Cricetulus griseus: one gene and its partners. The protein of the gene in region 3 purifies or fractionates together with the protein of the main gene of each other region. This does not show direct contact. Links are inferred from orthologs where the notes say so. Each region holds a gene or a part of one and is shown on either strand. Other genes may lie near its edges. The genes, in order: Strn4, Map4k4, Zranb1, Gcc2, Cttnbp2, Strn and Strn3.

The links.
Region 1: the proteins of Zranb1 (region 3) and Strn4 purify together in Homo sapiens (affinity purification with mass spectrometry; 4 studies listed by BioGRID and IntAct, with this or other methods). This does not show direct contact. The link is inferred for Cricetulus griseus from reciprocal best matches to the Homo sapiens genes ZRANB1 and STRN4.
Region 2: the proteins of Zranb1 (region 3) and Map4k4 purify together in Homo sapiens (affinity purification with mass spectrometry; 3 studies listed by BioGRID and IntAct, with this or other methods). This does not show direct contact. The link is inferred for Cricetulus griseus from reciprocal best matches to the Homo sapiens genes ZRANB1 and MAP4K4.
Region 4: the proteins of Zranb1 (region 3) and Gcc2 purify together in Homo sapiens (affinity purification with mass spectrometry; 3 studies listed by BioGRID and IntAct, with this or other methods). This does not show direct contact. The link is inferred for Cricetulus griseus from reciprocal best matches to the Homo sapiens genes ZRANB1 and GCC2.
Region 5: the proteins of Zranb1 (region 3) and Cttnbp2 purify together in Homo sapiens (affinity purification with mass spectrometry; 3 studies listed by BioGRID and IntAct, with this or other methods). This does not show direct contact. The link is inferred for Cricetulus griseus from reciprocal best matches to the Homo sapiens genes ZRANB1 and CTTNBP2.
Region 6: the proteins of Zranb1 (region 3) and Strn purify together in Homo sapiens (affinity purification with mass spectrometry; 4 studies listed by BioGRID and IntAct, with this or other methods). This does not show direct contact. The link is inferred for Cricetulus griseus from reciprocal best matches to the Homo sapiens genes ZRANB1 and STRN.
Region 7: the proteins of Zranb1 (region 3) and Strn3 purify together in Homo sapiens (affinity purification with mass spectrometry; 4 studies listed by BioGRID and IntAct, with this or other methods). This does not show direct contact. The link is inferred for Cricetulus griseus from reciprocal best matches to the Homo sapiens genes ZRANB1 and STRN3.

What each region holds. Positions count from the first base shown.
Region 1 is NC_048602.1:11,461,393-11,465,261, reverse strand, and holds part of Strn4 (striatin-4), read right to left. Parts: intron 3,223-3,869; coding exon 3,063-3,222; intron 2,527-3,062; coding exon 2,413-2,526; intron 2,089-2,412; coding exon 1,973-2,088; intron 564-1,972; coding exon 388-563; intron 312-387; coding exon 264-311; intron 1-263. UniProt on the Homo sapiens protein: Calmodulin-binding scaffolding protein which is the center of the striatin-interacting phosphatase and kinase (STRIPAK) complexes.
Region 2 is NW_023276807.1:8,322,607-8,327,210, reverse strand, and holds the start of Map4k4 (mitogen-activated protein kinase kinase kinase kinase 4), read left to right. Parts: upstream 1-1,754; 5' UTR 1,755-1,878; coding exon 1,879-1,935; intron 1,936-2,177; coding exon 2,178-2,243; intron 2,244-4,604.
Region 3 is NC_048596.1:67,857,138-67,861,006, forward strand, and holds part of Zranb1 (ubiquitin thioesterase ZRANB1), read right to left. Parts: intron 3,384-3,869; coding exon 3,263-3,383; intron 2,372-3,262; coding exon 2,242-2,371; intron 2,055-2,241; coding exon 1,825-2,054; intron 958-1,824; coding exon 739-957; 3' UTR 1-738. UniProt on the Homo sapiens protein: Ubiquitin thioesterase, which specifically hydrolyzes 'Lys-29'-linked and 'Lys-33'-linked diubiquitin. Also cleaves 'Lys-63'-linked chains, but with 40-fold less efficiency compared to 'Lys-29'-linked ones.
Region 4 is NW_023276807.1:2,795,959-2,799,827, forward strand, and holds part of Gcc2 (GRIP and coiled-coil domain-containing protein 2), read right to left. Parts: intron 3,336-3,869; coding exon 3,235-3,335; intron 3,148-3,234; coding exon 3,070-3,147; intron 1,909-3,069; coding exon 1,771-1,908; intron 195-1,770; coding exon 73-194; intron 1-72. UniProt on the Homo sapiens protein: Golgin which probably tethers transport vesicles to the trans-Golgi network (TGN) and regulates vesicular transport between the endosomes and the Golgi.
Region 5 is NW_023276806.1:208,097,359-208,101,833, reverse strand, and holds the start of Cttnbp2 (cortactin-binding protein 2), read right to left. Parts: upstream 3,165-4,475; 5' UTR 3,056-3,164; coding exon 2,975-3,055; intron 1-2,974. UniProt on the Homo sapiens protein: Regulates the dendritic spine distribution of CTTN/cortactin in hippocampal neurons, and thus controls dendritic spinogenesis and dendritic spine maintenance.
Region 6 is NC_048600.1:5,374,375-5,378,243, reverse strand, and holds part of Strn (striatin), read right to left. Parts: coding exon 3,763-3,869; intron 1,714-3,762; coding exon 1,573-1,713; intron 569-1,572; coding exon 461-568; intron 1-460. UniProt on the Homo sapiens protein: Calmodulin-binding scaffolding protein which is the center of the striatin-interacting phosphatase and kinase (STRIPAK) complexes.
Region 7 is NC_048598.1:150,592,379-150,596,879, reverse strand, and holds the start of Strn3 (striatin-3), read right to left. Parts: upstream 3,026-4,501; 5' UTR 2,790-3,025; coding exon 2,505-2,789; intron 2,370-2,504; exon of another isoform or gene 2,049-2,369; intron 1-2,048. UniProt on the Homo sapiens protein: Calmodulin-binding scaffolding protein which is the center of the striatin-interacting phosphatase and kinase (STRIPAK) complexes.

The DNA of each region.
Region 1 (3,869 bases), on a different chromosome or scaffold from region 3:
TCCACTGAGCCCTCTCATCAGTCTCCTTTCCTAGGTATTTTTTAAGGATGCCAAAGGTAATTTGTCATCTACACTCTGGCTGTGCCACCTGGGAAAGCTGCCTGTCTTCTACCCTTTCACTTTACTGCTCAGAAGGGCCTCAGTGAAACCACAGAGGGCCCAGGATGGCGACTGCTGCTCCAGGTCCCCAGGGAAGCAGGCAGCAGCCTCGGCCGTGCTGCTGGGTGCAGGACTGAGACAGGCTCAGGCATCTATCTCCCTACCTGTGAGCGCGGAAAGCATGAATGGGCTCCACGTCCAGTGCAGCGTTTCTGTGGGAAAAGGAGGAATCTCGTCACTGAGACCCCAGGTCCCAGGGCCCCGCCCCTTCCAGGATGGCATCCTTACTTCTTGGCTGTAACTGCCTTCTGAAGGTTCCACAGCTTAAGTGTGCCATCCTCAGAGGCAGTGAGCAGTGCTGACTGGCTGTGGTGGAAGGCCAGGGAGCGGATGCCATCGTAGTGTGAGCGGAGGGTAAACTTAGGGTTCCATGTCTTCTTGAAGGCGTCTTTGCTGTCAGACAGCTGGGGATGGGAAGCTGCCTCAGTGTCCTCCTGTATATCCCAGCACTCGTACAGACACTGACACCACCCACCCCCTTCAGGCTGGAACTGACCAGTCCCAGCCTGACTTCCCTTCTGCAGGCCCAGAAGAGCCCTTCACATACTCAGCAGGTTTCAGCAGTATGGGATTCTGAAGGGGCCAAGCGAGCCTTACTCTTTGGGGCCTCACAGTTCAGAGGCCCCTCAGGGAGACAGACAGGTCCTAAATGCATAGAACCAGGAACTCTGAGCATGAGAAGGGGACACCAAGGCAGTCTAGCTTCCTCTGCAGGGACCAAGAGGCTCTTGTGAGGTAGTGACAAACAAGCAGGACTTAACCAGCATCAGGCAAGGGGAAAGGGACTTTAGAAAGACGCTGCGTGTGCAAAGGCCCTGAGGCAGGAAGCTGGGATACACAACATTTAGGAGCAGGCCACACGAGAGGAAGCTAGAGAGGTCAACGGCAGGCAGAAGAGCGGGTCCCGCTCAGAAACCCGCAATTTGTTCCATCCCAAGCAAAGGCCCTGGAGAAATGAGAAGCCACACGGGGCTGCAGAACAGTGGGATGACAGCAGGTCTCAGCCTTTCTAAGGAGGCTGGGATTGGGGGAAGGTCAGAGTAACTGCAGATAGGTCTCCAGGCTATAGAGCCCTAAGGAACAAGCCCTGAATGGGGAGCTTGAGACAGTTCCCTGGCAGGGGAGGCTGGGAAGCAGACCCATCAGGCTCCAGGAGAGATGCTCTGAGCATGTGTCCTACAAGGGGAAGCTACTCACTGCGAGGAGGCAGCCAGGTTTGGGAAGCTCAGCACCTTCAGACCCCCGTCACCTGGGCTCAGTTGGCATTTCTACCAAGATTCTTAGGAACTGGAGGATCTGTGCTCAAGTGGGTTCCCCATTCCCTGCAGCACCGTGGGGCAGCCTGAGGAACCCTGCAGTACACTCCTGCTAGCCTCACTTCTGCATTCTACACTAGCCTCCAATCTCACTGGGGTCAGTCACTTCATCTTCTGCCCTGGAAAAACGCACCCAAACTTAACCCAGAAATTCCCGGTGACCTGTGCAAGGTGCACAGCACAGAATGCCAGTCACCGGGCCCCTTCGTCCCAGCCCCTGTTCCACTCACAGTAGAGACCCTGAGTTGGAGAAGCATGGCTGATAATCATTTCCCCACCCCCCCAAAAAGGGAGGAACGAAGAAACCCCTGTGCCTTCCAGAGCTTGCACCTCAATGAGGTGTTTGCCAGACACCCCTCTCTAAGGCAGGGTGTGTTAAGCCTCCTGCTGGGGCTACACAATGACCTCTCACAGTCCTCACATAAAAGGAACAGAACCCAGACCTGCAACATGGTCAGAGCTGAGCCAAGAACTGATGGGGCGCCCCAAGAACTTACATCACAGCTGAGGTCGTTGTCATTGGTGACGGTGAGATCTGCCAAGTCCCCCAGGCTCACCTCCCCTCCCCCGATAGTGTCCATGATGAAGACGTCTGAGGAGAAGCCAAAGGAACCTGGTAGGGGGGAGGGGTGGGTGGGGCAGACAGGGCCAGGGAAAGAGAGAGAGAGGCAGAGAGAGGCAGAAAGGATAAGAGAGGCAGGAAGACAGGATCAAGAATTGCAGCTGGAAAGGAAGACAGGGACAGACGGACAGACAGACAGGGCAGGACAGACAAAAAGAGAGGGAAACAGACAGACAGACGACCTTTTGGGACAGGGAGGCTGCAGACTGGAGACTGGGCCTTACCTCTCAGGACACAGAAACCCCGGGCTTAGCTCTGCAGCCCCCCGCCTCTGTCACAGACCCCAAGTTACTAGGGTATGGGGCTGGAGATTACCTTCATGAGGCCGGGGCTGGGGTGTGCCAGGAGGTGGGACAGTCACTTTGGGGGGCAGCCCATCCACATCCCGGAGGTCAGCAAGGATTCCCTGGAGTTTGACCCGACGGCTTTCTGCACGGAAGAGGCATGAGCAAGAATCACCCACCAATTCTCCCCAATCTTTGCAGGGGAGGGGGGAGAAGCCCACCCCAGTGCTGCTGGCCTTCCCATAAACAGTGGAGGCTGTAAAGCACTGACCCCGGGAAAGACAGACTGGCAGGGACCCAGTGAGAGGTGGCAGGCAAATCCTGACTCTACCCGAGGCCCAGGGGACCCCAAGGCCCTTCTGGCCAGGAGTCACAAGACAGGAAGACACAACCCCACCCCCCTTCTCCACCATCAGTTTTCATCCTGTCCCCTGCTTGAGCTGGACAGGACTGGACACTTGCCGTGAAGGCTGGAGCTGACTTCTGGCAGGGCCACTTGAATACGGTTTGCAGGGACTTTCCAGGGAAGGGTATGGGCCTGGACCTGGCTTGCGGCTTGAGCTATCCTTGACCCACCTCAGGAAGTATATCCGCCTGGGCAGAGCCCCAGACAGGAAGCAGCTGAAGCATGCAGGGTCGGATCCTGTCTTAGCCAGGCCTGTAAGTCAGTTCCCAACTCACCCAGCTCATGAGGGTTCCCCTCTGCAGCACAACGTCGAGGGTCTGGAGATCCCTCACCATCTTCTCCTGAGCCCAGGAAATCAAACTCATTGATGGCATCTTCTGAGTCATCTTCCTCATCCTCACCCTCCATTTCAGGGACCAGGGCCTTGGATGGGAGCTAGGGTGGGGAAACAAGTGGGGGAAGGAATGGGGTCCAGAGGTCAACTCCAGCTGGTCCCTGGGAAAAGGCAAGCCACCTGCTCACTTCCCGAAGCCTAGATCTGGAAACTGCTGTGGGACCTCCTCCACCACAGCACTGGGCCCTCTCCTCTCTCCTCACAGCTTTGCTGAGCCCCTCCCCAGCACATGGCTCTCAAGAAGTCAGACAACACAAGCCCTGGAGGTGTTCAGAGACACGCAATGGTGGTGGTGGTGGTGATGATGAACAGAACCTTCTATTTTCACTCTGGGCATAAAACTAACAGTGGTAACACACACTTGTCACTCAGCTGTGTGCTTAGCAAGAGCTAGTGACTCACAGAAGGCACTTACAGACATGGCTGCACTCTACCCCACAGCCCTGTGAGCAGTAACCCAAGCTACTACCCTTCTTCCCATCCTGTATGTGTGAGAACAAGCTAGACAGATGAAGCCAATTGCCTCAGGTGCCCAAATTCAAACTGGGCCCCAAAATGGGCAGCACCAACAGACCGTGGTGCCTCAGGACACAGCTGACTCCCAAGGTGGTCATGCAGGGGTTCTGAATCTAGAAATAACAACTTTCAGGCATCCACACAAGTGAGGGACAAGAACATGTGGAGCGCA
Region 2 (4,604 bases), on a different chromosome or scaffold from region 3:
CTGTTAATAACAGCACTTGGAAGGCAGAGGCAGAGGCAGGCGGATCTCTGTGAGTTCCAGGACAGCCGGGGCTGTTACATGGAGAAACCTGTCTTGAGAAAAACAACAAAACAAAACAAAACAAACAAACAAACAAAAAACCACTAACAAATTCTCAAACACTTTTGTTACTATGAATTTCCTAATAAATGGATATCAGGAGTTTTGAATATCACCTAACTTTACAATGGAGTCTCATGTCAAAAATCTTGGAATGCAAATGATCAGGAGGCAGGGGAGTGCTAAACATTCTCCGGGCACAGCTGACTTGAACTTTGGGTATAGGCCGGTCTAGAGAGCATCCCCACTCCTTTTCTACACTAGGCTCTTAATGGGCTTGTGTAAAACCCTTCTAGTATTTTTTCTTTTTTTAACTCTGAGGTTATAATGTGGCTACTGCTTAACTTAGAACAGTTCATGAGTGTGTGGGGAGGGAAGTAGGTGCAGAATTGCTAGTAACAATAGCTGCCCATGTCTGTGAAGCTTAGCTAAGGAACACCTCGGATTTTGATATTGGTGGCACTGTGGAAGACCAAGCTTAGCTTCATCGGCTAACTTGTCCCTTTCCAGGCCTCTTGCATGTGGGAGTCAATCCTCAAATCAGCTTCTTTGCAATACTACCTGGTCATTCTGGGGTACTCCAGAGAACACCCGTTGTAAGCTAACAGGGAGCCACCAAACACGCTTTTGGCTGGTCCGGAAATGTGATGAAGATGACTTAATGAAACAGTATTTAAACTGGCTAGCTGACTTGCTTTCCATTGTGCTGGGAGAAGCCTGTTTGGTGACCCGTGGTGATCTCCAGGTACTAAGCACTGTCCCGGCCCTGAGATCCTAAACAGAGGGCACACCGGCCACACATTGTCAGGAACACAGCAACAAGCAATTACAGGGGCTGTTTGGGATTCGGCCGGGCAGTCAAGTGATGCTCAGCGAATCCTCCAACTGCAACCATGCCACAAATTGAGCCTGGGAAAGAGAAAGGAAAGGAAAACCCTGTGGGGGAAAGGGAAACCAGGGGCTCCGGGACCCACAGGCGGTAGGCGGCGGCGGGGACCTGGGGAGAGGTGGGTGGGGACCGAGGCAGGTCCTCTAGCCCGCTCGGGCACACCCTTTCCCCGGCGCGGCCCGCGGGGCTCCCCCGTGTTCTTCATTCATTGTTAGCGGAGGCAGGGGCGTTCCCTCGAGTCCCGCACCTCCTCCGGGAAGGCCCCGAGGACTCCCAGCCCCACCCTGGGCCCGGCCGCCATCCCGCGGAGGGGCCGGCGCCCCGCCATTGTTCGAGCCCCACCCCTGCTGAATATTCACGCGGCGCGGGCGCGGGCGAGGGCTAGAGCCGGGTTCCGCCCGCCGCCGCCCGCCCGCCGCTTGCTTTCCCGGCGGAGGAGGAGGAGGAGGACGAGGAGGCGGGGGGAGCCGCTCGCTCCTCCTCAGAAGCGCCGGTCGGTGCCCCGCGTCCCGCCCCGCCCCCGCCTCCCGCGGCATCTTTGTCTCGCGGCCTCGAGCTCGCTCGCCGCACTCTCCGGCGGCGCCGCGGCCCCAGCTCCGGGCCGCTCCTCCAAGGCGGGCGGCGCGGCAGCGCGCGCGCGGGCGAGCGGGCGCCGGGGCCGAGGCGGCGGGAGACGCCCGGGGCTGGGGTGGGTGGGGGGCTGACGGCCGCCGCGCCATGGTGTGAGCCCGCGCCCGCGCTCGCTGCGCTCCGAGGAGACGCCGCGCCCTCCGCCGCCGCCGCCGCCGCCGCCCGCCGGCGGCCTTGCCCGTACGGCCCGTGCCCCGGCGCCGCGGAGCTCCTGACCGCCGCGGCTTGTCGCTCCCGTCTCGGGGCGGCGACCGGGGAAGATGGCGAACGATTCGCCCGCGAAGAGTCTGGTGGATATCGACCTCTCGTCCCTGCGGGTGAGTGTGGCCGCGCCCTGGTGGACACGGCCGCGGACACCCGCGGGCGCGGCGGCCCCTTTGTCTGCCGGGCGGTGCGGGCGGGTGTGGGACTCGGGCGCGACTCATCGCGGCGCTCCTGGCCGGCGGGGACCCGGCGGGGCCAGAGCCTTTGTCACCGCCCTGCATCCCTCCGCCCCTCTCTGTCTCTTCATTTGGGGGCCCCCTTTTTAAATGATCATCTCCCCCTCGTGTCTCTCCAGGACCCTGCTGGGATTTTTGAGCTGGTGGAAGTGGTTGGAAATGGCACCTATGGACAAGTCTATAAGGTCGGTGTGGGGGCGCCTTTGTTCCCCGTGGCGTGGAGAAACTTCTTAGGGGACGAGGGAAAGGGTGGCAAGACGCTGCTGACTGGAGGCCATGCCGCCTGGCCAAAGTTGGGAAAGGGGTTTCGCCTGGCTTTTTTTTTTTTCTTTTTTTTTTTTTTTTTTTTTTTTTGCCGACTGTGTTCAGACTGGCCTTAAAGGACCTCATTTCCTGGCTTTGAGATAAAGGAAATAAGCTACACTGTTAGGCATGCACTTTGCTGCAGCAAAATAGAAAAGGAATTTTGAGTTCAAAGATGACCAGAGGGTCTCCCCCCTCACCCCACCTCCCCTTTCTCCAAATCTGACCTCCGTGCGTTTGCATTTGTTTGTGAATTAAAATTTAGTGTAGATAGGCCTTGTCTGTGATTACCAACTGGCTTGGTCTTCTTGAGAATTGTCATCATGCTTCTTGCCTAAGAGCGTTTGCCAGAGGACTTAACGTGGGGAGTTTGGTGTTACCTGGGACTGCTTTTAAAGCTTTGGCCAGCCTACCCTCTTCTGGTGGACAGTATTTTGGGGGAAGCCGGAGGAGTGTGTGTTTGGGTCACAGGAGCAGGAAGAATTACAGTGTGGGGATTATAAAATCTGAATTCCAGGAATAACCTGTGTAACAGCTGTGTAATTGAGATAGCGAGGAAGGAGGAGCAGAGAGGGTGCCAGGTTTCACACCCACCACCCCAGGTCCTTCTCTTTCTTTACATTTGCCCTCCTCGCCCAGCTACAAATGAAACTAAGCATTCTGGAGCCTGGTTAGTCTGTGCTGGGTAGCTGGTGCCTAATGTGACTTTAACTGTGTTGCTCATTCTGTTGAGTTGTTGCATGTATATTCTAGAAGGACGCTCAGGCTCCAAAATGAAAAAAGAAAAGGAAAGAAAAAGAACTTTATCTTTCTTGATTTCTTTCTTGTTACCAAAAGTTTTCTGGAAGCTGTCTTTGCTGGGGGAGTTCTCTAGTTGTTAGGACTGGGTCAAGGTTGAGCTACAGAAGATTATTTTATGAAGGAGGGCTTTGTGGCTCACCATGAAGAATTGTGATTGTTTCACTAAAAATGGGGGTGGTGGTGGAAGCTGACTGTAGACATTTTCTGAGGCCAAATTAAGTGTGGATTCTATTATCCCTTTTCTGTTTTATGAATAGGGTTTGTGTGTTCCTGATTGCTTCTCCCAGCTTTAGAATCCCCCTTCTCCCACCCTGGGACCTGGATGATGGTATTGACAGGCTTGTGGTCTGAACTTGAGTCAGTATTCTTAGGTGATCTCAAGTGAATTAGCTTGTTTTGTTGGTTAACTTTTGGGGTCCAGGCCAGATTTTTGAATTTGAAAGGCAGCCCTGTTAACAGGGCTGCTGGGCTCAAACTGAATTTGGAAGGCTTTGGAAAATTTTGGAAAAGATTGTGTTGCAACTCTCTGAGTGGCTTAAAGACATTCTTCCCAGCTCCAGTGTTTGTTTAAGCACTGGTTGGTTTTTTTCTAACCCAGTTTCTCTGGCCAAATCTAAGTGGTGAGTAGACTCTTCCAAGTGAGTTAGCCAGAGCTTGTTTTTGACCTGGTTACACAGTAGTTGGATTGTTTGTGTCTCCCTGGGTCAGCGTGGAAACTGTGGGTAGTGAAGTAAGCTGGAAGGCACTGGTGAATTTTAAAAGGCCAGCATGAATAAAAAAGGTTTTAAGAGGTGGGCACTTGGTGGTGTGAACTTGGGCAGGTTCTTTGTTGTTTCTCCTCCTCTTTTCTTTGGCCCCACCCTTCCTACCCCAAGGCTTTGCTAAGCATTGCTTTTGGGGAGTGCTAGGGATACATTCCCTAGTGTTCTTGGACTACACACTGTGCAGATGAAGCATCTTCTATGCAAATCTAAGGAATCAAGTTGCATGTTTTTATAGCTTAGTTTAATAGCACCATTGATTTTTGTTTCATATATAGTCTTCTTCCTTTCCTTTTCTTTGAACTTAAGATAACACTTGATTGATAAATACTAAAGTATTTCCTCCTTTTTAAACATTATCACAGCGTTATTCCATACTTGGAAACTCATCAGGTTTTCTTTAGTGTGCCATGCTTGCCCCAGTCCTTGCCACTAGCAGGTTTATGAACAGGTAACATCTCCTAGAAATGGCATCTGTTTCCCTTTAAGTATATAATTTTTAGATCCAGTACTGTTGTACAGAATGATTTATTTATTTATTTGTTTATTTTTAGCTGCTTGGCATGGAGTGGTTTTGGGATTAGGTTATTAATAGTAGAATTTATTATAATTTATAAAGAAAAATTTTAAGAAAAACATTTTTTAGGGAAAACATTAGCCGAACAACCTAGAGTTCTAATT
Region 3 (3,869 bases):
TAACAAAAGGGGCAATTCAGGAAACTTGAAAACAACAGAAACCAAAACCCTCTTCAAAACAAGACAATTTCTATGTAAAGTTCACTGCAAAAAAAAAAAAAAAAAATTGCTAGTTTTCCTTGCAGTTTGTTCCTAAGGATTTGATTTTTATTTTATTGGGCACAACAGGAACTAAATTATTAATAAAATAAAGGCTTGTTTATTTTTATCTTGCCGTGGATAATTTGTACAAAGTTTTCAAATCTCTGAAACAATGGAAAATGGATCTTTTATGGTGGGAGCAGGATATCAGGTTCTAATGAGAGTATCTCAACAAGGTTATCTGCCATGTGCTTTTTATGAGTGCCCATGCTGGGGAAATGTTCTCAATAACATGAAGATGCTGGTGCACTTTTCCTAGTACACGACTTCTTACACAACCACATGCGATACATTCATAGACAGATTTACAATTTGAAAGAAAAAAGTTCTATCAATAAAATTAGGGTTTGGTGTGGGTTTTTTTGTTTGTTTGTTTTTTTTCTTTTTTACAAACTGTAGTTCAAAGTTCTCCATCTCCTCATGCAGATGCACTCGTTATCTCCAGTGGGTGTGGAGCAGAAAGATACTTGGGAGCAGATCCTGCAGGGTGTGGCTCACTCCATGCTGTATGTTCTGCTGAAAATACCACACTAATTAATTTTGGGGTCATCTCAGATCTGATGCCTTGGTCTTTTTGCTCCTTAAGTGCGTTTGTTTTCATTCATCTTCCTCATCCTCATCTTCCTCTCCATCAGACAGGGATGTACAAGGCCGGATCTGTCTGTAGCGGTCAAGCCATTTTTCTACCATTTGTGTGACCAAGGGGTGATTTCTCCGACGCGAGCTTTTCTGCATTGCCACTAGAACTCCCCCTTCAGTCACACAGCAGTCCAGCCACTCTCTGAGCAGTTTCTCTTGCTGCTCCTCATTACCTAGCTTTTAGAGGAATATGAAGAAAAGAAAGTAACACAGCAGCAGGTCAGATGCTTGGCAGGAATAACCTGAAGCTGCTGTGAAAATGGAAAAGTAAAAGCAAACAACTGTTTCAACCTAACTACAACCTTTTGTCAGTTTCATCATTAAAAGCCAGGAGGGTTTTTTTTTTTTTTTTTTTTTTTTTTGTGGTCACAATTAAATGAGGAAATAACCTCTTCATAAAAACTGGGTAATTTACTTGACATAACCTTTACAGAAATTATGAGCTTCAGACATGACAAGGTAAGTTCCCTGGTTAAGTTTACATTTGGGCTAGAATTGTACAAGTCATGGTCTATGAACTATTTTTCTTGATGACTGTGTTTTGTGGTCATTACTAGAATATATAATAAAGAGCCAATAATTTTCTAAAACATAGGCTTTCTGGGTCTTCTTTTATATATCCTCACTGCCTGGTTTACACACTGCTGCCTCTCCATGTTTTTGGCATAAACTAAAGATCCAATCTCTTTCTGAACTTTCTAGCTCATTCAGAACCCTAAGGGCCATGCCCATGCCCTTTTTTTAACTCAGTCCCCTTACAATGCCTTAAAAAAAAAAAAAAAAAAAAAAAGGTGCAGGATAGAGCACACCTTTACCCCAGCCCTGGGGAGACTAACATGGTGGCACCCCTTTTACCTCTATTTAGGTCATAAATTCAATAACCAGCCTGCTGCCTTTTCAATTTTGAAAAGGTCAGTTTTCTCTGACTGGTGTGTGTGTGTGTGGGGGGTACTTGGACAGCTCCTATCACATACTAAAGATGCCACCACTTCTGGAAGGCACAGGAGGTTGGTTTCTGGGGTAACAAGACAACATGCTACTTACCTCCTGAGCAGAAAGGAAGTGCACGTGGAGGAGCTTCCTTTCACTGTCAACCAGAGGCAAAAATGTGATGGTGACATCATCATCAGTGTTCAGATTAGCACCAGCACCTCGGTTGCCATACCCATCATTCTCCATGGCAACCAAAGCAGAGAAGTGGCCCCTTGTATATCCCAGAGCAATTGGACTTTTCCAACAAAAACTCTGTTCCCACAACAAAGGCAGATAAACTCCTAGAAAAAAAGCACAAGAGCAAAAGGAGAAAGTACCTATCTACTACCCAAACCCCACCCCCACTGTTCTAACCTCCTGAAACCCAGCAGCTCCTCTGACCTTTTCCCCATAAGTAAGTGCTCTGAAGCTACAACTATATGGTCATAGTAAACAAAACTGCTAGAGGAATCTTGAGGAATGGCTTACCTTGAAACCGAGTATATCCTAATGTTTCTCCCCGGAAACTCTTATAATATTTTACTCCATAAACTATAATTGGTCGTCTAAGAATATGTGCGAGTACAAAAATGTGTGTCTGTTCCAAACTTGCTCCAGGCTGTACACACACACAAAAAGAAAAGACAATTTACCTTTAAAACATTTATTACCAGTACTGGAAAACTGCTGTGTAAAAACCAATATTATATCGAAAACCTTGGTAGAGAAACTGACTCCCCAAATGACAATGTCCAACAGAATTATAACAAAATCTCCCATGTCTTTACATAGGCATCATTCATATCCAAACTCACAGATGTAGAGAATCTCAGAAAAAAGTTCAGATAGCAAGGGACACTTCATAAAATGAGAAAGTCCTACATGCAACAAAGTTATCATGAAAACAGCTTTACTTTGCACAAAGTCAAATGGCAGTATTACCAAATTAGGTCCATCCTTCAACTATAGCCACTATAGACAACACATGGCCATGAAGTACATTATTTCATAAATTAGCCACCGTGAACACTGCACAAACTGTCCAAACATAAGGAACTTCCCTTCTCAAGGTTCAAATGAACCTGACTGAACAAATGGATATTTGTTCAGAGTAATCCAGACTGCCCTCTTCCCTTAACACATAAATGCAGTCATGAGGGCGTTAATATAAAGAATGTCAAATTCTTTCTCCAAGCCTTATAGCTCAGTTCCATCCTTTAATCTGGAGCTACTGTGAAGATAGGTAAAATGGGTGGAAAGCCTCCGGTATTAAGGAAGAACAAGCAGGAATCTGGACTATACCATGCTTAAAAGCTATCATTAGATCTTTTGTTTTTGACAAATTTGACAGCAATTACCCTGAATTAAGCAACAGTTCTGCAGTGATAAAGCACCTTTCCTTCTCATTCATACTGCTTTCAGCATGTTCTGATCAAACAGACTGAAGAAACTAAGAGCATGTAGATTTCCTCTTTAAAAAAGAAAGAAAAAAATATTGATACAACCTTACCTGACTAGCTAGTGAGAGAATAAATGCCCAGTCTTCTTGCCATTGTTCTTCCCTCAGTGAAAAATGTAAACCAAAGCTCTGGGAATACCACGATTCCCAGTCTTTCCATCGTGTGTAAAACCTAGCAAGCAAATGGCAAAGGAAATGATAAGCAAGCTTTGAACCAGCAATACACTGCTACAAGTGTTTAGTTTAGTTTTGTTTTTATTTTTTTTTTAAGATGTATCTATTATGTACGTAGTGTATGCCTGCACTCCAAAAGAGGGCACCAGATCTTATTATAGATTGTTGTGAACAACCTTATAGTTGCTGTGAATTGAACTCAAGCCCTCTGGAAGAACAGCCAATGCTCTTAACCTCTGAGCCCTATATGTTTTTTTTGTTTGCTTGCTTGTTTTGGTTTTGGGCTTTTTTTGGGGGGGGTCAATTTCTGTCAAGAAATCAATGCCCACGTTCTGGAAAAAGACATCTTTTAGCATATCTCCACAAGAATAAAATTTACCACCCATCTAATTAACTAAATAAAGTGATGAAAACAGTTTCATTGTTATTAATAGTATTTGCTGGTTTAATAAACTCAAACCACTCAAAAACCAGCTATGGTTCT
Region 4 (3,869 bases), on a different chromosome or scaffold from region 3:
CCCAGCTTGCATATGAGACTTTTAACCAACCTGGGAACAACCTGTTTGTATGAGGAAAACCTTAGACTTTACCTTTCTTGTTTAGCTCCCTCAGTTTCCGCCTGAGACACAGATTTATTTTTCTGCTGTTTTAGAACGTTATGAACTCGGACTTTGTAGCTCTCAAATTCAGAGGTGACAGCAGCTTGTTCTGCCTATAACATTTAAGAGAGAGAAAACTGTCACTATGACATGATCCTTCTCTGTCCTTTCAGAGGCTGATGAAATGAAGTAAAAAATTCTGTTTGTGAAAATGAAGAAAACAGCTTTATCCATTTTAGCCTTGATTAACTCTACTAGAAAGTGAGTTCTAGGGATGGGTATGCTAGCGCAACCCTGCAATCTCAGCACTCAGGAGGTGGAGGCAGGAGGACTGTTATGAATTCGAGGCCAGCCTGGTCTATACTCTGAGTTCCAGGTCAGTATGGGATATAGAACAAGTCCCTGTCTCATAAAACTAACAACAAACAAAACCTCCAAATACTAGACTTAATCAAAACAGAACCCAGTCCTGTTGGCCTGACCCTTTTAAAACTGCTAACTTCATGCTTCTACTACAGTAGACTAACTTATTACTCACAAATTTTATAACGACACTGTTTTCATTCATTACTTTATAATTTTTAACTTATATGTTCTCTTCTCTCCTCTCCCTCTGTCTGTCTGTCTGTCTGTCTGTCTGTCTGGTTTTTCGAGACAAAGTTTTCTGTTATAACAATTCTGGCTACTTGGAACTCACTTTTTTAGACCAGGCTGGCCTGGAACTCACAGAAATCCACCTGCCTTTGCCTCCCAAGTGCTAGGATTAAAGGCGTGAGTTACCACCTCCTGGCCATGTTCTTTTTATAAATAGGAAAAACTGATTCTCAAACACATGATTCACTTGAACTTCACTTTTAGTACACAGTAGTGAGAGTTAAACTGTGTGTTTCTGAAGTGATCTTTAGACTCCCACACTCCTGCCATGGTCATTTAGGGTAAAAGAGAGAATTCTAACAAACCCACAGTAAGTAATTAAATGCTTTGTATGCTGAAATCAGGGAAGTTGACCCGATAGTCATTCTATTAGAATGTCACAATTATTTAAACCTCAGAAAAAACTGCAGTGCTTTCCCTAAGTTTTTTGTTTTTCTTTTTAATAAATATGACATTTTTTTATTGTTGTTTTTTTTTGAGACAGGGTTTCTCTGTGTAGAAATATGACATTTTTACACATATAAATTACAAAACATAAATGAAAGGTAAGTGTACTCATGTTTTTACTTTCTGAAAAAAAAAATATTGTTAAGAGCCGAGAGATGGCTAACAGTTAAAAATACTAGCTGTGCAAGCCTGAAAAACCTGAGTTTGAACCCTGAAACCCATGTTTAAAAATAGCCAGATCAGAAAATATACATTTCCCATCCCTGTGCTCAGATGGCAAATCAGGAGACAGAGACCGGGGAAGCGCATGGGGCCAGCTGGCCTGGAGTACAACGTGCAGCAGCAGAAACAAGACAGACATTGTCTCAATAAGGGACGGAACCATCTCCTAAATATTGACCCCTGACCTCCACATACATGGTGGTATGTGTGTGCTCACACTCACCCCCCCCCACACCCAAAGATGTGAGAGTGTCCATGCTGTTGTTTAGAGCATCTGGCTAAGTGCTCTTAATTGCAGAACACTGCTAAGTGAATGTGGCCCTGCAGTAAGAATCCCAGTGGTGGTTTTGGTCCTGGAGGACACACCTTGGCAGTACGACTCTCTTCCTGAAGTGCCGCCACCCTCTGCTGGTATGCGCTCAGTGTGCGCTGGTGCTGCTCTGCAGAAGTCTTCAGGTGCTCATGGATTTTGTGTTTCTCAGATGTTATCTCAGCCAGTTGAATCTGGGGAGACAGATTAAATGGCACAACTAAATAGTGGTTTTCAGGCATTACAATATCTTTAAAAAAAGAGACAGCATGAATAATGCTTTCTCAATCTCAGCTTGATTTATTTTTCTCTTAAACTAGTATCTGCACAATTAAAGACTATATACGTAATGTTTAATTAAACACCATTAGACATTATACATTAAAAAAAACCAAATATTTGACCACCTCATATATTGCTTTTTAAAATTGTATTTTTCAGTCAGAAGATTCAGATGAAGTTTTTGGCCATGTTTATTTTATTTTATTTTTTTTTACAGGTTCATCTTTTTATTAGACACGTTAACAAGAGGCTTAGTTAAAAAGACCAAAGCCCATGTCATCATCAGACTCCATATTCTTCCTTCTTGGCTTCCACTTTCTTCTCCTCAGCTGGGGCAGCACGGTGGAGGGTGAAGGACCACCTGCTGGCACGGCTCCAGCTATTGGAGCAGGTCCACCAGCCCCTACATTGCAGATGAGGCTCCCAATGTTGACAATGGCCAAGGCCTTTGCAGACTGGCCAGGCCAGAAAGGTTCAACATTGACACCGGCTGCTTTAATGAGGGCATGTTTCAGACCGCGGGCAAGGTGCTAGTCACCAGATGAAGTGAGGGCCTCACCCCAACTTGGCCTTAGCTTCTTCGGAAGAACCACGTACCTTGGCGGCAGCTGAGGAAAGGGTCTGGCCATGTTTATTTTATATTCACTATTCTAGACTATTACAAACTCTCAAATACATGATAGTCATTTAGCACGGCTTCTGCTTCCTCAAAATGTTGAGTAATCTTTCTAAGTATCCCTAAAGGGTAACTTCTTATCTAATAGAAAAATTTCTAACAGGTAATTTTTCTTTTAAAACAAAGTTACTATTTTTTTATGTGTACAGATGTTTTACCTATATGTACCACATGTGTGCCTGATGACCATAAGGCCAGCACAAGACATCAGATTCCCTGGGGCAGAGTGGGAGAGGGGGTCCAGATGGTTGTGAGCCACCATGTGGATGCTGGGAATTGAACCTGGGTCCCCTGAAAGAACAGCCAGTACCCTGAACTGCTGAAGCAGCTCTCCAGCCCATCTATATGGCACTTTATTTCTACATGGAAAAAACTTTTCAAAAGTTAAAAATCTTACTTTATAGACTTCTACTTGCTGTTGGCTTGCTTCCAGCTCACCCTTTAAAGATGCTTGGAGTAGTAAGTGATCAGCTTCCTATAGAATGAGAATCCTGGTTAAATTAAACAATAAAGTAATTCACAACTGTAAGAACTAAAATATGGTAGTGAGAAATTAACATACTGCTTGCTTTGAATCTGCCAGTTCCTTTTTGGTTTTCACAAGGAGCTGTTTGATTTTGGTGTTTTTTTCTTCAGAGTGCTGTACTGAAGTCTGCAGGGAAGCTAGTTCAGGAAGTAATTTCAGCAGAAAGAAAATAAAGAGATTTTTACTAGTGAACATGACACACAAGTGACAATTTTTTTCTTCTTACTAACTTAGAAGAAATTAATTTTATCTCTTCACGAAGGGTTTTTCAAACATATCTGACAATGCCAATCACCCACCTCAAACACTTACCAGCACACCCTGACAGGTTCATCAAAACGCAGCTCACTGGCTACTTTCTGAATATGGGTTAAACAGAGCACACTTAGGCTCCTTCAGTCACATGTGGCCTGCAGTTTCATTAGCCCACCACACCGGTGTCCTAAGGAACCACCACAGGGACTATGTAGCCTTATGCCAAAATATTTACTACTTGGCCCGTTACAAAAATGTGCAAACCTTTGATCTGGATTATTTTAAAGCAAATCAGTTTATTTGTAAATATTTAAGTATATGTAGCTTAAATAAAAGCATACTAATATTTAGTGTATATCTGCCAGTAGTACTTTTTAAAAGTACTTCAAAAAAGCTAGGAGTAATAGTGCCAGCCT
Region 5 (4,475 bases), on a different chromosome or scaffold from region 3:
CATCCAATGCTGTTACCTAGAAGACAAAATTTTCCAGGTGCCAGTCATTAAATTTAACACCAATGTACAATTTTCAGTGGAAACAATGCCGAGATTTCCACTCTCACAGCAAAATCTATACCTACACTTTGCATATTAGCTAATCCCAAAAGCCCAGAGTGAACACAATGCTAGTCACCTCCCTAAATACAGCTGTAAGTGGATCTCCATTTTCTTCTCACTCCCAAATTCCAGTGACAATAAAAAGCAGATTTCTGTTTTCCATACTGCCTACCATAAGAGTTGTATTCTGAGCAGAAATAGCAATATGGCCTATAAAAGTCATCCCATTTGGCTAAGGCACTGAAAATAACCCAGGCTCCCGGCATGGATCACACTATTAATATGATCCTATTGAATAATGTAGCTGTTAGCCAGCTTTACACTCGAGGTGCTTTCAGGATTTAAACAGTGAAGAACAAGGATAACAAACTAAATTTAAAACACTCCACTGGAAATTATATTAAACTGCAAACTATAAATTAAACCAGTTCCTAAGCAACAATCTAAATAGAATTTTTAAAAAGCCCTCTAAAAACATGCACTTTCAAAAATAGCCAACTGCTTTGGAGGCTTCACTAGCTTGATTCTGCCAAATGTATATATAAAATTCCACAAGACGTAAACCAATTTGAAATGAAATAAATCTCTCTGAGGCAAAAAGAGAATTCCTCACTATAATTAAAAATATATATTAAGTCCTTTGTTGGCAAAATATAGTTTTAATTTTTAACCATTAGAAGAAGAACAAGTATGACAAACAGGATTTCTCTAATTAGCTTTTCTTTAATAATAATAATAATAATAATAATAATAATAATAATAATAATAATAATAAGTCAAAGCCAGGCAGGGTGGTGGTAAGGACTACTAACCCCAGCCTTCAGGAGGCAGAGAGATAGGAGAACCATGATTTCATGATAAGCTTTAGCTACATGTGATCCTCAAAATAATAAAAAAATGCCAGTTTACTCAAGTAGCTAACATAAGAGTCCCCATATTTCAAGTCCAACTACTTGTAAACAATGAAGTCCAGTTTTACTGAATAAAAAGCCACCACATTCTTTCTTAAAAGTAGACAGTTACTTCAAATACCTTAGCACTGTTACTGCAGATTTGAAGCCTAAGGGATCCCTTGGGAATAACGGAGGAGGTCCCAGTCGGTGAGATTTTGCCTGGCTATTCTCCCTCAACCAAAGCAGAACAATCAAGCTGCCAACTTAGCAGCCTTTGAATCGGGCTCCTGACAATTTTAAACAGCCGACAGCAACACTGACCTTGTTGGCACAGCAGTATTCCTGACGATGCAATTTTGTTTACAGTCTTACATATCATAAACTGCATGCTTTGTGTTGGTTTGCCTGGTGGCCGAAATATCTTGTGGGCACAAAGCTGTGTATTCCAAGTAGATTAAACAAACTATCCACCCTCCTGGGGGGAGAAGGAGCGCGACCCCCACACCTCCACTTTCCCCCTCATGGAGAACAGGACACTCAATAGTTTCAGCTTCCCAGAGGGACTTTTGCTTTGATAGCCATTTTCTTCGTTGTCCCCGACTCTCAGAATGAAAGTATTTCTCAAGTGGAAAGGTTTCATTTGAAATATCTTTAAAGTTCTTATTAGAAAAAAAAACCCGCTATTTTTCCCAAAACTTTAGCCCAGAGTCTTCTATTTTCACCAATGGGAATTAGTACCTGACCCCTCCTATTCTCCTCTCGCAGCTCTTGCCTCCAGGTACCTTCCTCCACACCCCTGCCTTCTCCTCCTAGCAAGCCCTCCCTCCAGAGGGGAGGGAATTAAACTGCCCAGGTTGTTTACACCTGGTCCTGCCCAGCCCGGGTCTGGGCTCTGGAGATGGGAGATACGGACCTGGGCGTCCATGCCAGGCTGCTCAGCTCCCTCGGTCCCACTCAGAATCTTCCGAGAGAGCTGCGGGATTTGGCCAAGACTGGGAGGCGCTCCTAGACCTGCCTTTCTTTGCACATCTTTGCCGCTCTGGCAAAAGCTGTTTCCCAGACCTGCGAACGTTTTCCAAGCTGGCTTTGTGGGTTGAGACCCCCCAAGCGGGGCACAGAGGGAGTGGGAACCACCGGGGAGCGTCTGTGCGTGCAGACAACTCAAGAGTACCAAAAAAGGGAGCAGGTAGGCGCCTAAGCAAGAGAGGACGCTAGGGAAAGGAACAATGTGTTGACACCAGGTTCGGAAACCCCAGCTCAGTGCCACTCCGCCTGGGGAAGAAGGTCCCTACCGATGACTGATGGAGCAGCAGGCAGCTAGGACCCAAAGTGCTGGCGCTCAGTTGCAGCAGCACCCACAGCTGGGCGCGGGGCCTCTCCCACGGGGCGTCCTCCCCCCCCCCCCGAGACACACGAACCCCCGCACACAAAGAGCATCTCCACACCTGCCTGGCGACGGACGGGTCGCCTTTCCCTCGCTGCTTCCCCAGGTCTCCCAAGAGGTGTCAGGCACCCCGAGACTAGCATTTGCTCGGTGCCTGGCGGAGCTGAACAATGGGGGTTGAGATCCTCCGTGAGCACCCCAGCAGTGGGCAAAGGGGTCCCCAAGGACGCATGCGGGGAGCTTCCAGAAGGACCGACGGGCTCCTAGCACCTCGGGGGCGGCGGGGGTAGCGTCGCGCTACTCGAATCCGCTTCTGGCCTTGGGGGCAGGCACCCCAGGGAAGGGACATCCGAAGGGCACACCCCGGGGGAAGGAAGGGGCATCCAGGAGAAGAGGCACACCAGGGAGGGGGCACCCCAGAAGGAAGGGGACACCCCTGGGAAGGTGTACCTCGGAGAAGGAAATGGAACCCCGAGGAAGTAAGGGGGCACTCCAGGGAAGCACCGGGCATCCCTCGGGGAGTGTCCGGCGGGGACCGGGGCACCACCCCCAGCCCGCATCTACACCGTTCCCGGAGCCCAGGGAACTCGGTTACCGCGGCCTCCGCCGTGGCCCCCGCCGGGTCGTCCGGGGCGCGGGACAAGTCGGGCTCGCAGCTCGCGCCGTCCGTCGCCATCTTCCTGCTCTAGCGGATCCGAATGCGAGCTCGGAGCAGCGGCGGGGCTCTGCTCTCGGCGCGGGCGGGCGGGCGGGCGGCGCTTAACCCGCTGCTGGCTGCGGCCGCGGCGCTCTCAGCCCCGGAGCCCGGCCGCCCCCTCCCGCCTCCCGCGCGCACCGCCCCTGCCGCTTAACCCTCTGCGCGCTGCAGACGCCGGCGCCCCGCCCACCCGCTAGCCTGCAGCAGCCGCTCCCAAGGGACCAAGAACCAGCAAGCAAGCGAGCCGCGTGGCTTTGAGCTGGTGTTGGGGAGACAAACACCCCAGGATGCAAAAGAAAATAAGCTTCCTTTCCGGAGGCGATGGGCTGACAAACTCTTGACTTAGCAGGACACAAACCGAACTGGATGTCAGGCCCTTGGATGCTAAATCTAAGATCTACGGTCGAGGAACCATCATCCCTCACTTCGACTAGCTCCATCGAGGTGCCTCTCTTAATATTTCCCAACTCTTGCCTTCTGAACACTTCTATCCTCTTGATTTATATACACCCAGCTTTTTTTTTTTAATCGCATCTTCGATGCTCACCCTCTAAAACGATCAACTTTCCGCTGAAAGTCTGTGCCTTGCTGTTTTTAAGCCCCTCAGCTAGGTGCCTTTCTGTTCGATTCTCTTTTTAAGGAAGGTGGAGACCCCCCCCCCAGGGGTCCATCCAGAAAAACCACCAAGTATCAGTGATGTCTTAATACTTTTGTGAGAACAGCAACTTCTCCGTGCAGGTGAAAACCCAAATATACACACACAAACCTTTGACAAAATGGTCGATTGGAAATGCATGGTTGGGGAGTTAGCACGAATGAGTTAGGCCAAGACACTTAACTTCCCCCATCCTGCCTCTAATTCCATTCTTACTTTTTCCTGCCAACTCCCAGAATCTGAAAATTTATCACCTTGCTGAGACCATATGGTAAGGAGGTCCCTAAAGTTCCAGGTCCCTAAAGATGTGTTGAAAGCACAAAATCAAATGGAGGCATTCAAACTGTCTCTGTGATGTCATCAAATCAGTCAAATCAACCGACAACCCAATCCCACACTTGAAATTCTGGAAGATGAATGACTGGAATGTTCAGTCCAAGTGCACAGATCAAAGCCTTTAAAACAAAACAAAACAACCTGCTCCTAATGAGAAGTTCTGACACCTTAACTGCTCAGCTTTCCAAACTGGATCCAAGTATGACACATCAGAGAAAACCTTTTCTACAAAGACACTGGAAAGAATTGGTCAGCAAAATCTAGAAAGTTTGCTCTCAAAAGAGAGGTCAAGGAAACTTCCACCTGAAACTCTGAGGTTAAGGGTCAGATTTTAGGAAGCAGATGGAGGTCATCCTGATTCAGGGCTTCCTTTGTTTATTCTCTGTGGCTTCACTCAGGTGGCCAGGC
Region 6 (3,869 bases), on a different chromosome or scaffold from region 3:
GATTAACCTATGGAAAAACACACAAAACAAATGACCTAAGGATTTTCATATGCAACACTGAATCAAGCTATTTACGACTGAACAACAGAATACAGCTATTCAATAACTGAACAATTTAAAACAAAACATAGTTACCAACCTCTGCTTCCAACATGTTTCTATTAATACTCACTCCTTATGATTGCAACAGATCATTTTTATTAGTACTCAGATTTGTGGCTTTAGACTATCTGCTTACTATTAAACAAAATAAAAAAAAACCCATTCCATATTAGTCTTAGCCGATATGAATGAAATGAACAGAAACTGAGTGAAGAAAGTGTTTCAGTGCCTACTCTGTAACTACAAAGCTCCCATTAGACACCATAATTAGCTTACTTAGGTGTTTATTGCTGTTTTAGTTTCTTGTTGCTGTTGTTGGTTTTGCTTCATCAGATGCAAAACCTTAGCAAGCTCTTACCTGTATTGTTATCATAGAACTTGATGTGCCTGTCTTCGTGAGCAGTGATGCTGATTGGAAGAGTGGGATGGCTGATGACTCTGTTTATTTGGCAGGAAGAATTGGCTGCTAAAAACAGAAAATTAAAAATCAGTACTAATTAGTCAAAGTAGTTTTTTTCATATAAAGGAGATATAAATACTAAAACAGAAAAAAAAAAAAAAAAACCAATGAAACCCTAGTCTGGCTGTGGTGCAGTTATTCTCCAATTATTTCTCCAACCTCAGTGCTGTAAAATAAGAGCTGCCTAAGGTACATCACACTGGCATATTTATAGGTAATTAAATGTCAGAGTTCCTTTCCACCACCTGCTATGCATGAATTCCATCTAAGACTTGGCCTAGAGACACGGATGACATCCAAGTCTACACGTTTTGTGATGTTTGCTACCTTAAAGAATTCTATCAGCAGGGCATTGGTGGTGCACACCTTTAGTACCAGCACTTGGGAGGCAGAGGCAGGTGGATCTCTATGAGTTCGAGAGCAGCCTGCCTCATCTTCATTGTGAGTTTCAGGCCAGCCAGAGATTCAGTGAGATCCTTTCCCAAAACAAAACCAAACACCACCAATATACAAATAATCTTCAAAGTTAAACCTCAGTCCCTTCTAACATGCAGCTCTGTTCAGGTAGCTGTGATCTAAATATATCATGAAATCAAGGGCTTTGCCTCCTTACTTGTTCCTCTTTGCATCATAATAGAAAAGACCATCATCTTGCAACCCACCAGATTTTGAGTTTTTAAGCATACTAATTAATTGTTGTACACTATCTAAGAATTTTTGAAGATATTAATTACTATAGTAATTTATAGTTATTTCAATATACAACAGAAAATGCCAGGTGGCCACATGGAATAAATTCTTTGGGTGCAGTTTTTCTGTTGTTTGTTTTGATTGCTTTAGACTGTGCTGAAGTTTACCCCTTCCCCCCCAAAAAAGTTTTCTATAAAGTAAAAGTGTCTTTAGGTTTGGGCAATAGAACACTATGATTTAATCATTCTTCACATCGACTTGGGCAGTTACACTTTTGATTAAGAACAAATAGAGAGACTTTTAAAGATTGGTATACATACTTGAGTCTATCTTGGATTCTAAAGTGAGGATTCGCTGCTGTGTCTCCATGTTAAAGATGCTTGTATACCCTTTGCTGAATGATGCTACCATATGGCTCGGGTCACTGCTCACGAGATCCACCGAAGCAGGGATTCCCAGTTCTAAGTGTCAGAAATATTCAGAGAGGATGACAGTTAAAAGGTCTACTTGAGAAAGTACTCAAAATGCAGCAAAACAAAACTAAGCATGATTTACTTTAATCAATCAGGCTTAACATCAGAATAAGTTATTTTAGAACTGTTCACAGAAGAGTATTTCTTTTCTAACTTTTAGCCTTAGTCTATTTTATTATCCTTACCTGTTAAATGTTTTCTACCCATTATTCTGCTAATCCACTCAAAGAATGCAAACTTATTTTGAAAGAAAATAAAACACATGGACCATAAGTTTTATAGCTTCCACTTCCATTTCAAGCATAGAGTAACACAGTGGAAATTCAGTATTTTAAAAATCCATCTTGAAGAAAAGAAAACAACAATAACAAATCCAAACTTAGGTTGGAGTGCAGCTCAGTGGTACTGTGCTTGCTAGCACAGAGTTATGTCTTCAAAGTCTAAGTGCACATTGTGACTTTGCTGAAGAATAAAGTTGTTCTGGGCCTGGAATGTAACTCAATGGTGGAATATTTGTCTAGCATGCAAATCACCACACAAACACGAAAAGTTATCATCAGGGGACAAACTTGGAACTCATTTATACCAAAAACAGAATGATAAAGCCAGTGTGGTAGCATACTCCTTAAATCCAAGCACTTGGAAGTGGAAGCCCAAGGATTGTGAATTTGAGGTCTGCCTGGGCAATGAATTCAAGGTGAACCAGAGCTACATAGTGAGGCACTGTCACAAGAAAACAAACAAACAGAATGATAAATATAAAAATAAAATAATGTTTCATTTGGGTCAACACCTAACCAAAGCAAGGTAATGATTCAAAACTGTACAGCAGAAGTTCTAGGAATAGTCAATGAAAAGCAAGAAATGGTACTCAACCAAATATGCTGTCAAAGAATTAAACACTGAAACAGAAGGGAACCAGAGTGACAACATCAAGACTGAGTGAGGATGCAGAGCAAACTGACCTCACACAGGCTGCAGCCCAGGTTATAAAGTGCCATGAGCACTCTGGGAACAATGTGGTCATTTCACTTAACAACAAAACACCCACCCTAAAACCCAACAAGTCTACTGAAAGGTCTCTACTACCCATGATGAAAATTTATGAACCTTCATAATAAATTATTCCTAATAGGCCCACACTGGAACAACAGTAAATACTACCAGATAAATGAATAGGTCGTGGAAATTATGACTTTTTATAACAATTTTGCTCATAACAGCCTCGGTGTCTATCAGGAGATACATGAATAGACAGACCATAGCTTAATACAATACTCTCACATAATAAAGGGAAATCAACTGACACTGAACTGCACAAACGTTACAGTAGAATAAAAGCCAGGCACAGAGATAACATCCTAAACTGCTATTTTATTATAGGTGAGAATAGACAAAACTAATCTATGATGAAAGTGATCTTGACAACAGGTGCCGCTAGCTGGGATATGTAACAGGGACTGACTAAGGTCACAAAGCAGCCCAGGGAAGGGAAGAGATGGTCCCACTCCAGACTGATACCAGCGCCAGGACTGCACCAGTTCACCTCACGCATCAGAACACATCCTTGATGCCCTCAATCTTCAAGGAAAATAAATTACGTCTCACTTTTTAAAATGTAAACCCCATCTTCTCATCAAATGCTGAGTTTTTTTATTATTTCAATTGTGTGTGTATGTTTGTGTGGTATGTGCACATGAATGAAGGTCACTGAGGTCAGAGGTGTGAGACACCCTGGAGCTGGGGTTAAGGCAGCTGTGAGCCACCTGATGTGGGCATTGGGAACTGAACTCAGGTCCTCAGGAAGAATAGTATGTGCTCCTGACCACTGAGCCATCTCTCCAGCCCCTCAAATGCTGTTTTTAAGAATTATACATACACTGAAATGTTAAGCAACAATGTTGGTGCGTTAAAAAAAAAAAAAAAAAGCCTTAAAATTTATACACTCAAGAGTTTATAGAATCATTTATTTGCTTGCTTTTTCAGAGTAGAATGTTTAATAAAAGATCTGGAAGTGTTTAACTTTAAAGACTATACCTTGGTTATCATTAAACACACTCAGTGCCGGAGCAACCTCGGTTGTATTCCATAAACGTAAAGTGCCATCTGCTGAGCAGGACAACAAGCGCTGGTGTGCCGCGCTG
Region 7 (4,501 bases), on a different chromosome or scaffold from region 3:
ACAGAATCCTTAAAGTCCTTTTCAGTTGCTGTAAAGCACAGGAACAGTAAAACAGAAAAGGGACTGACAACATAGATCTCAATAACGTAAAACTTGTTAATTTGGACACAAGATGCTTTCCTAGCTATTTACATTAACCATGACTGAGTGACAAATTCAACTGCTAATTTGAAAATCAACGGAAATGAACAGTACAAGGATCAAACACCACATAGGGAACTGATGGTTTATCAAGTAAGCACAAGCCTCAATGCATTTTTTTAATGAATACTTTAACCTCAGTCTAACCACAGGGAACATTAAGCAGGCATCACACCGTACTAGAAAGTTGTATGTCCACAAAACTCTAAATCCAAGAATATTAAAGTAGACTCTACAAATTAAAAAAAAAAAAAAAACACTCAATTTTGACAAGCTTTCTAAAAGTTGTAAAACACAACTTTCTAAACACTAAAGTATTCTTAAGCACAATTTTAAGACTACCGAATCAACTAAAGGTGTCAAATAAAATATGTAAAAAAAAAATTTAAGTTTAACTTAACCCACTTTGTGAAGTAAAATAAAAGTTTACTGGCTTGCTGGGTGAGGTGTAAACCTTTAATCCCGGCTTTTAAGTGGCAAAGCAGATAGATCTCTAAGAGGGAAACCTGCCTGTTCAACACAGTGAGTTCCAGGCCGCCCAAGAATACAGAGACTCAAAAACAACCACACCAAGAAGTGGTGGTTCATGCCTTTGATCACAGCACTGGGGAGGCAGAGGCAGGTGGATCTCTGTGAGTTCAAGGCCAGCCTGGTCTCTAGAGCGAGTGCCAGGATAGCCTTCAAAGCTATGCAGAGAAACCCTGTCTTGAAAAACCAAAAAAATAAATAAATAAACACAAACACACACAGCTGGGGGTGGTAGCACACACCTTTAATCCCATCACTTGGAACACAGTCAGGCATGGTCTACAGAGTTGAGTTCCAAGACAGCCAGGGACACAGAGGGGAACCCTACCTCAAAACTAAAAAACCTACAACAAAAACTCACTGGTTTAATCACTTGTCTTGCAATCCTTCTGTCAGCGAAACAATATTAATTTTTAATGTTTCTTTTACTTTTCTGTTTGAGACAGATTCTATGTAGCTCTGGTTGTCCTGGAACTCTCTTTAAACCAGGGTGGCCTGAACTCACAGAGATCACCTGTCTTTCCCTCCTGAGTGCTGGGACTAGAGACATATGCCATCAGATATTTTTAATTTTTGAGTGAAATTCTTTATAATTAATGTAACAAAAAGTTTACTGGTTCAAAACCAAACTGAAGACTCATGTTTGAGAACACCTTTGCTACATTAATCAATCTTCCCTTTTCAACATTACTTCTTCCTAAATTCACCAAAGGTGTATTGTATGTGTGTGTATAATACCGGACAATATTGCTTACATCCGAAATTCCTAAGTCTAAAAAACAGGTGCAACGTTTAGATGCATGTTTTTTTTCTCCTAAGTTTAAATTATACCCTGGGAAGGAACTTAAAACTAAATACATCTAACCTACAACTCAACCCTTTCAAAGAGATGCAGCAATTTTAAAAATTCAAGGCATAAGCCCGAGAAACTACTATCTTCCAAAAAGTTAGGATAACTCAAGCCTCTCCGAGGTTCACATTAAGCAGACACCCAACTTCGTCTTAGCTTGTACTAAACAAAAAGTACGTTTTCCTTCAAATTAAGACCAAGTCTTTCCGCAGACATTCCAGAAATACAGTACAGGTAGTCTAGCTCTGCTTTGCATGAGTAAAAACCAGGCAGTCGGTGAGAAGGAAAGTCTAGAGAAACCAACTCAAAAGAGAAAAATCCAGTTAAGGGTGATGATGAATCACTAGGCGCTGAAGGAAAGGCGAGTGACTAGAGCGGCATCCCGGGTATTTAAAAGTTGGGGGTGGGAATGCAAACTTCGCCGGCGGGCCGCAAGCCATTGTGCGAGGTAGTAGCCCGAAGCGGCGTGGCTGTCAAGGGGCAACTGCGTACCGCGGCGCGGGGGTGGGGACAGGACGCCGCATCGGAAGGGGGTGCCGGGGCCAGGAGGCCAGACACTCAGCCCGGGCCCTCTCCGCGTCGCCTCGACCTCAAGAGGACGACAAACAAGCGCCAACTCAGTGCCCAGCGGGCCCACGCCAGACTCTCGCTCACAGGCGCTGGGCCCAAGCCCGGAGGCCCAGTAGGCGCCACCGGAGGAGCCCCGCAGACGCCATGCTAAAAGCCAAAATGGCTGCCCCGAGGATGCCCGCAGCGCGCTGCCTGTGAGGAGGGAGCCGGCCGCTGCGGGAGCGGGGGAGGGGGCGCCGGCCGGGGACGCGGTCACCGCTCGCCAGCGCGAGCCTCTCAGGTAGGTCCCCTCGGCCCTCAGGGCGCGGGCCCCAGCCCGGCCGGGCCCCACCCCCGGGCCGCGCCCCTGCCCCTGCCCCTGCCCTGCCCCTGCCCCTGCCCCTGCCCCTGCCCGCACTCGACCCCGGCCAGGTACCTGCAGCTCGGCCCGCTCCACCTCCCAGTGCGCCCGCTCCATCTCGAACCGAGCCCACTCGTGCTGGATGTAGTGCAGGATCCCCGGGATAGTGTACTGCTGCGGCCGGGACAGCTCGGGGCCTGCCGGGGGAGCCGCCGCCTCAGCGGCCGCCGCCGGACCCCCGCCGCCCGGCGCTCCGTTGGCTCCCGGCGGAAGGCTCAGGTTCCCCCCGGGTCCCTGCTGCGGCCGGGGAGGGGCCGCCATCCCCTGGCCGCCGCCGCCGCCGCCGGCCAGCTCGTCCATTGTGTGTGCGGCCCCGGCCGGGGCGCGGAGCGAGACACCGACAGCTGCGGGGAGGACCGGGACGGTGGCCCCGCGCCGACGGCAGGGCGGGGGCCGGCCGGGAGAGGGCCGGGGAGGGGGGTCGCCGCCGTGTGCTCGCCGCGGATCAGAGCAGGGAGCTGCCGGCCGCCGCCATTACAGTCCCTCCTCCATCTGCCCGTCTCACTCACTCACTTTGGGGAAAGGGGGGCCGCGGCGGGAGGAGGGAGGGAGGGAGAGAGGGAGGGGAGGGACGGGTGAGGAGGAGAGACGTAGGGCCGCCGCCGCCGCAGCCGCCGCCGCCGCCGCCGCCGCCGCACGGCACGCTGGGTAGCGAGCGCCTCGGCGGCCGCACGCCGGATAACCAAATAGAGTCCGGCCTCACCCTACGCAGGCGCGGCAAGGACGCGCCGCTCTTTGGGCGGGGAAAAGCCCGGGCCCCGCCCCCGCCAGGGCGCCCGCCCCCTGCTTTCCTACTTCGCCCCAGTGGACTCCCGGTGTGTAGCCGTGCCTTTGAGGGGCGCGCGGGCCTCGCTCGGGCTTGCGGGTTGTTAACTTCAACGCAGACGCCCTCAGGAGCAGCTGGGTTCGAGTCCGGCTTCGTACCTCCCTGGAATGCCTGACGTTTCTCTAGAATTCCCAGCGTGTTTTGCTCAGACCCAAAGGGTCGAGCCTCTCTCTTCCTCTGCCTGTCACTCACTTCACCTCTGGTTTCCTAGCACCAGTCAGTCTCCAGGATTTAGGGGGACGTTCACCTTTTGCAAATGCCCCAGTTTCTTCCGACTCTCTCACTGGTTCCTGGGCTCCGCCGCGACCTGCTTCTTTGGTCCCACTTCAGTGCTGCCGGCTGCCTGTTGTAACTTGTCTTCAGTCTTTATGAGATGGGTTGTGTTTTGGGGCGTTTAAGAGATTGTTTCATTCTTTTACTATAGAAGAGGTAGTGATTACTGAGAATGGTGGGTGGACGGGAAAAGATAACTTTCAAAGACCCCCATAGATGGACTCTGATGTTTAGAAGTGAATGGACTCAGATACTGTCATTAGTGGCAGAAATACTGATTGAAACAGAGAATAAGAGTATTGTGAATACAACTTAAAATGAAGTAAATCAACAACAACGGTATCTTCATCGTTAAGTGGTGTGTGTGTGAAATAATACACACACAAAAGGTCGATTTTAAGTAGTAGGGGGTGCGTTTTTCTGTGCTTGGCTTCAGAGGAATTATCCTTATGAATTCACAAGTTTTTAAAGCTAATACAACTGATAACCTGGCTCCCAGACATGGCAGCCCATGAGGCCAGTCTGGTCTACTGATGGGTTTCCAGAACAGCCAGCAAAAGAAAAAGAAAAAGAAAAGAGCTAATAACCATTTGTTTGCACAGTAAGACAAAAGTAATATTTAACAGCATGATGAAGAGAGAGGCCGTATGTACAGCTATATAGGAAATTGCATATTAAAGTGGTTGCGTTTTAAAGTTTTATTTTCATTATGAAAGCCTATAAAATATTTTGCTATGGAGCCAACTCAGGATGGAATTCCAGAGATAAAGTAATACACTTTGTCATGTCTGCTGCATAGTTATAATTAATGAAGAACTGGTTGGATCTGTCACACTTACTCTTACTGCCGTATTTATGTATGAAATGAGGCCTTAGCTAACAATACAGTTTCTTTACATGACTAGAGTACTGT